Linked DNA regions of Xenopus tropicalis. The protein of the gene in region 2 purifies or fractionates together with the protein of the main gene of each other region. This does not show direct contact. Links are inferred from orthologs where the notes say so. Each region holds a gene or a part of one and is shown on either strand. Other genes may lie near its edges.

Evidence for each region.
Region 1: the proteins of sin3b (region 2) and arid4b purify together in Homo sapiens (affinity purification with mass spectrometry; 3 studies listed by BioGRID and IntAct, with this or other methods). This does not show direct contact. The link is inferred for Xenopus tropicalis from reciprocal best matches to the Homo sapiens genes SIN3B and ARID4B.

Annotation. Positions count from the first base shown.
Region 1 is NC_030681.2:55,881,158-55,884,812, reverse strand, and holds part of arid4b (AT-rich interactive domain-containing protein 4B), read left to right. Parts: intron 1-512; coding exon 513-620; intron 621-3,058; coding exon 3,059-3,271; intron 3,272-3,655. UniProt on the Homo sapiens protein: Acts as a transcriptional repressor. May function in the assembly and/or enzymatic activity of the Sin3A corepressor complex or in mediating interactions between the complex and other regulatory complexes.
Region 2 is NC_030677.2:111,954,666-111,958,420, forward strand, and holds the start of sin3b (paired amphipathic helix protein Sin3b), read left to right. Parts: upstream 1-1,512; 5' UTR 1,513-1,585; intron 1,586-1,598; exon of another isoform or gene 1,599-1,735; intron 1,736-3,755.

The DNA of each region.
Region 1 (3,655 bases), on a different chromosome or scaffold from region 2:
TGCAGATATCCACTGTCTAGGGAAGGGATCCCCAAACTTTTATATAAATGAGCCACATTTAAATGGAAAAAGTGTTTGGGAGCAACACAAGTATGAAAAAGGTTCCTGGGGGTGCAAATAAAAGCTATAATTGGCTACTTAATAGCCCCTATGTGGCATTATATTTGGTTTTTATAGTTTTTAAGTTTTTATGCAACCAAAACTTGCCTTCTTACGAGAAATTCAAAAATAAGCACCGACTTTGAGGCCACTGGGAGCAGCATCCAAGGTAGTTGGTGAGCAACATGTTGCTCACCAGCTACTGGTTGGGGAACACTGGTCTAGGGCTATGTTTGGGGCTGAATCGGCAGGTGGAGGTAGAATTTCTATTGTTTCTAAGTCCATATCTGACGATTCAGCCCTGAATGTCAGTGGAGGGTGGGAACGATCTTTGCTACGTATATGGCCATCTTTAGGCTGTTATGTTATTGCTCTTTATTTGTTCAATGTTATCTCTCCTTTTCTTTAAACAGGTCACACCAATCAGGCAGTTGATCAGACTGTTAATGTGGGAGACAATAGTTCAAAGAAACTTAAAAGAAGCCACAAATCTTCAGTGTTTCAGAAGAAAAGAAAAATAAGTAAGTTTGTAATTAATATAGTGTAATTTTTAGTGTAAATAGTATTAAAATTGTAAATTAAAATACTATTTAATGTTTATTTTCCAGAAGAAATATTTTAAGAACAAAGAGTTAATAATAATTTGTTTGTCATGAAAAAAGCATAAACAGTATTACAGTATAAGCAAATGAAAAATATATTAATAAAAGGGCAACTAGCTTGAGCCAGCAAATAACATAGGCCTTTACTGCAGCTCTGAGGTATGCCTCAAGTGTTGTTATCCTTTATTATAACACAGTGGTTTCATTTCGTAACTCATTTAGGAAGGTGTGCTGTCAACATGATCCTTTAGTACTTAAAGGAGAACTAAACCTAAAATTGAATATGGCTAGAAATGCCATATTTTATATAATGAATTTATTGAACCAGTCTAAAGGTTCAACATATCTATAGTAGTAATAATCCAGTGCTTTAAAGTTTTCATAGTGGGGTGACCATACTGGACACTTCTGTTACAAGTGTCTGTGACACTCACATGCTCAGTGCGCTCTGAGCAGCTGTTGAGAAGCTAAGCTTAGGAGTTGTCAGAAATGATCAAGCAAAGAAAATGAGGTTTTCATATAAGCTGATCCTAATGGGCTGATGATTAAAGTCTGATGCTAATAGCACTGGTTTCAAATATGCCATGCATTAATTATCTGTGTTAATTAATCATATATATATAATATATATATGGGGAACTACTGCGGCTTCTTAGGGGGCACAGATCTTCCCTGCTAAAGGGCTGTGGTTGCATTGGGGTGGTACGGGTGTGAACAATGTGGGTGATCACAGTCTGAGACTGAGGTGTGAACAATGCTGGGATTAAAATGTGTGAACAGTTCAGGGTTTAACATGTTTAAGCAATCTGAGGTGAGAACCATGCAGGGGGGGCAGTTAATCTCAGTACTGATAGCATTTAAATTTTACACAAAGGTAAGCCATCAAAGCAGCCAGACAAGTGGGGGGGGCCACACAGAGGGGGGTCGCGGGCCGCCAGTTGGACAGCACTGATCTACAGTGCCAGATCAGCTCCCCCAGTCTTGCTAGTTTTCTGATGAAGGTGGGCAAGCACATATGGTGAAGGAAAATTACTGATTTTTATTTCCAAAAAATTTTGATGACCACCTTGCCTGTTCTTTGATCTGGATAGAATAAGTTTGATTCAGTACACCTTAGCAGCGCGACTTTAGGGGTCCTCGTGGCCCAGGTTCAGGCTACCCCCCTCGCTCCTCGCGTGCTTAGCTTTTTTGTGTCGGAGGGGAGAGAGGGAGGGCTGCATCAATAGAATAGAGAGTGTTTAAAAATCAGAATTTTGGCTCTTTTTGCCACCCCTGGTAACCTGCCAGGAGGCATGTTTCTAAACTCGCCTTATACCAGCAGTGCCCCTTGCACATTGGTATTAACTTATGATAAAGAATTATCATGAAGGCAATAGAAAAAGTCATTGGACTGGTACAGAAATGTAAACTCTGAAGCCTAGGAAACGATAGGTTCATGATGAAGGACACACAGGTACGTACAGGTATGGAACCTGTTACCCACCATGCCTGGGACCTCGCCTTTTCCAAATAATGGGATTTTCCATAATTTGGATCACCATCTCTTAAGTTTACTAAAAATATATTTAAACATTAAATAAACCTAATAGGATTGTTTTGCCTCCAATAAGGATTATTTATATATTAGTTGGGATCAAGTACAAGGCACTGTTTCTCTATTACAGAGAAAGGAAATCATTGTTAAAAATTTTAATTATTTGATTATAATGGAGTCTGTGGGAGATGGGCTTTCTGTAATTCTGAGCTTTTTGGATAACTGGACCAATACATGTGTGTATCTATTATAGTCTTATATTCTACAAGGCCATCCCTTTCACATACATAAACAGGCAGATAACGGAATAAAATACACATACATAAAATGAATGCACATAGATACTATACTTAGAATTTATTTATATTAGAAAACAGATATAAATATAGTGGCAAAAAGTTTTACACACAATCAATAAATAGTAGAGCCTGCTTAAATGTAAGATTTGAGAGCTGATAATAAGTTAATAGCTGGACAGTTACAAAGAATAAACTATAAACACCATTTGTATTTTGTTTGGTAATCCAGCTTGCTACAATCACCAGGACTTTCTGGAGTCCTATTGGCTAGAAATGGCCCTCCCATGTATTTTTATAGCCACCTGCCTATAATCCCCTAAAGGGGGATTCAAAGACGGTGTACAACATCAAGAACATGTATGTCAGCTATTTGGCTGACTAAAGAGTTGGAACTGTGCTTCCATAAATCATACTTACTGTAAATTTAAAGCATATTTGCATTATTGGTTTTCAGAGTGACGCTTGACAGTTTGATAAAAATAAAGATATAGTTTTATCTGCTTTCTTTTTTTGTGTTTTGGCAGCCAACACAAGTGATAGTGAAGATCTTTCTGGAGGTGAAAGCCTTACTAAGATGCAGTCGGAAAGACCAAATGTTGGTTTAAAATCACAGCCTACCAAAGTTCCACTCAGAGTGCATTCTCCTGGAAAATATGCCAAGAACAGAGAAAAAGATACATTTCAGAAAGAATATGCCGATCGCCTTCCTAAAGTTTACAAATGGAGTTTTCAAATGTGTAGGTGTCCCATTAAGAAGATTCAGGATGCTGTTACTGGCAAATGCTTATGTGCCAGCCTTTCTCTAAATGTAATGGTGTATGTAAAACTGCAGCCACGGTTGTCCTGCAAAAGCTTTTGTCAGTGCTCATCTGGCATAGCTGGTCTGTATTTTCAGGAAAATGTCAGTGCTGGCACAAACACTTGCAATGCAAGTCTATAGACAGTAGTAGTCTGGCAAGCTGACACAGTGTTTTTGGGATACTTAGAAGCAAGATTGCATTAAAGCCAATAAGAAATAATGCTGTCAGTCTAGCTTTACACTGTGGTTAAAACTTGGAGCATCCCAAAGAAAATCATGCAAAAATGGGAAGTATGCAGATAGCGTCCCAGTCCTGTCATCC
Region 2 (3,755 bases):
GTGTGTATGAAATAAATAGATTAATTTATTGCACATCTTAATATAATAGCAAAAATCTGCCAATAGGCTGGGAAGAATTCAGGATACTAAGTGCTTGGTCAGATTAGGCTAAGAAAGAAGCAGCAAAAAAAAAGCTTCTTGAAGGGAACAAAATGAACCATTTCGAACATCTGTTGACTATCATAAAAATATTGGTTATATCAGATCTGGGTAAGTCCATAATAAAAGTCTTGGACTAGGGGCGCTGCTGCCAAGAGGCGTGTTGAGATACTCAGAAGGTAGCTCCCCGCATCGGCTCGTTGAACTGTAGACTTTTGTGCATATGCCAATTGAGGAGAGGGGGAGGTCGAGGATGAGAGAGCCTGGGACTCTAAACCTATTTTTACAAACCAAATCTATGGATTTTTTTTACATGGGACTGGATTTTTGAATACCCTTAAGCCAGCTGCCAAAGCCCACTGAAACAAGCCCACGCACACATACAGGCCACAGACATGTGCATGCTCATTTGAACCTATCCACTCCCAATCCTGCTCTCAGTCGCTAGCTCCTACTGGCAGCACTGGGCACCCAGTGCAGACGTGGAAGCATAGTGTGCCACCCTAGGCCCAGGCCTTTCCACAAATCTATGCCTGCTTCTACAGCTGTATTATTTAAGCCATGATTATAGAGCTATTACTAAGCACAAATACCACAGGTTGAGGCTGGTTGTTTGACATACAATTACAAGCTTCCCTAAACATTATAACTGTTTCCAGTGCTTAGCAAACGAAAACAAGCTGAATACAGCTCCAATTAGGATTCTAAGTTATTGTCATATTCACACTACAGCAATGTACCATAGCAATCAATGATACAGAGCTGTCAAGTCAACCCCATCCAACTTTCCTGGACGTTAACAGATTTTGGACCTCTTTCCCCAATCTATTTTTACCCAAATAATTATACTTTAGGGTTCACACCTAGCTGTTAAAAGCTTTGTAAAGCCTGCTGTATTTGGCTATAGGTTACTGCTCACATACTACTTTGCTCATTGACAGTATAAATAAAACTGAGTGACATAAAGCAACACTGGGCAAATCTACACCTGCTGGGCACTGACCCTTAGCAACATATGCTTGCTTTAATTGAATTGCCCGCAGTCAGCCGGGAAGAAATCTATTCACTGATTGGCTGGAATGCTTTCCGCACTAAGTATAGTTGGATATGTGTAATACGCAAGTGGACCGATCTTTTGCAGTTTATAAATGCCTTTAGAGGGAGCTGAAAACTTCATTCATTAATTTGAGCGTCCCGCTTGCGTGCATAATTTCCTACTTCCTTTCCAGAGGAATTAACCCCGCCCTTTTTTGACCCAGTACCCTAGCCGAGTTCCCCCCCCTTGTCGCCAAATCACGTGATCTTGACATCACAGCAGGCCCTTCACTCTCACAGCGTTAGAATATGGTTAAGAGCGATGGTTGCGCCGAGTGCGTCCCCGCCGCCCGGAATATGTGGGCGCGCACTGGAACGCGCACGCAAGGTACGGATCATGGGAAACCTTCCTTCATGTATCACCGGACGTTGCTTCCATTGCTCAATCTTGGTAAATAATTCAAATGTCTCAGCATCCTTTTCAGCTTTGATTGCAGTGCAGAGGGTGGGCTGGATCCGCACGGTGTTGAAGACTGCGTTGAAGCCGAATGATTTACTCGTTCGGGGTTGAAATAGAGAAAGGGGCGCGATGATAAACCAGGCCAGTCGGCAGAAATACAAAATTACACGTACTTTTCTCCTGTCTCTCTGTGTGTGCTGTGTATTATCAGTCAGCTCGTCTAACATCCCGCTCCAGCGTCGCGTCTATTGCCATTCACTTCGTGACCCAATTCTAATTAATATCCAGGTTCTAATCTGCTCCTGTCACTTCTAATGCGCTCTTCTATCATACCCGTTGTTGTAAAGTGCTAAAGGGATTTGACTACATCATAACTCGATCATTCCTTTTCCTGTAGCATTATATATCTTTATTGTCTCCCTCATTGCAACATCATTTTTGTGTGTAGCCCCCATCACATACATAGTGGCTTGTGCTGCTTATCTTGTTCATCAGCATACCTTATTATGGGTACACAATGTGCATGTTAGGGGGAGGGGGGTATTCCAATGTAGTCTGTATCTGCTTTCCTTAGGTTGTTAAAAAAAAAAAAATGACAGTGTTACGGCCACCCCTGATAAAATGGCTCATTACTTGGTCTACTGGCAGTTTCATATGCCTCGGGCAAGAAGAAGATGCTCTTTCTGGTGCCCATGGGGTGAAACTAGAATAACTGAGGCAGAGATGTGTTTTTGTTAATTGCTAGAGGGATGTGAGTCCCTTAGAAGCAATTCAGATAAAAAAAAGGGGTTGTTTGACGATGCAAAGAAATCTGCTTGGTTAGGTATTTAAACCTTTGGAAAATGTTTTGTGTGTATATATAGGTGTTGTTTTTTAAACTAGAAAAAGCATGATCCCACCATAAGCCAAAGGCTGTCAGAGGTCCTATTTGTTGTTTAAATACAGCTTCTGGGCTATAGGATGATTGCCTTGAGCCCAAAATACCTGAGCAGACTATTCAGTTGCCATGGGGGGGGGGGGAGGGAGGAGGGAGGGCGCAGTGATGATGCTTGAAACTATTGAAATATAGGCTATACCATCAAGTTTAAGGGTGAAGAGACACAGAGCTACTAGTAGCAGCTACTTGTCGTGGCTACTAAAGTAGACAATGCTGACCATTTACTGATAATTGTATCTACATGTGTTTTAAGGTCCCCATACACGGGCCGACTATAGCTGCCGATATCGGTCCCTTGGACCGATTCGGCAGCTAATCGGCCCGTGTATGGGCAGAACAGAGCAGCCTGCCCGACCGATATCTGGCCTGAAATTGGCCAGATCTCGATCGGGCAGGTTAGAAAATCCAGTCGGATCCGGGACCGCATCGGCTCGTTGATGCGGTCCCCGAACCGACTGCCCCATAACCACAAATGTATTTTTTTTTTAAGTTTCTTGCTACCCGATATCGCCCACCCGTAGGTGGGGATATCGGGTGAAGATCCGCTCGCTTGGCGACATCGCCAAGCGAGCGGATCTTATAGTGTATGGGCACCTTTAGGCACTTCTCAGCATTGTCTATGGCAGGGTATCTTCTGGTGTTTAGTAGCCATGAAAAAGTAGCTGCTAAAAGTAGCTCCCTGTGTCTTCACCCTAAGCACCCAAACGAAGACCATTGTACTTAAAGGCACTGATACAATCTGCCATCACCATCGCCCATAAAAAAAAAAAAAAAAAAAACAGATAAGATAAAATCTTTGAGAATAGCAACATACTAAGGCTAATGCAGGCAACTTCATGCAACATCAGAAAATGAAGAGGCACCTACGCTTTTCCACAGGCAAATTACTTTGTTGCCGGTGGAAAGGAGAGAGAAGTCGCCTGCTGTAGCAGAAATTTATCGTGGGAGACTAATCTCCCCATGAGACATTACCCTTAGCCCTCAAATGCAAAGTGCCTATTTTGTCCATCATCCATAAATAAGGCCCATTGTGTTTCAAGCTTGTAGAAGTATTGATTTGATGGAACAGGTGTTAACTTGCTCTTGGCTCTTCTATAAATTTGTTTGTAAATGTCTGTATCTCTATTAACTAATTATTTTGTTTTAAACTATGAAATCCTGGGCAAAATTATCAATGAAAATGATCATTTTAAAACATGAAAAAGTATTTTTTAATTGTGCAAG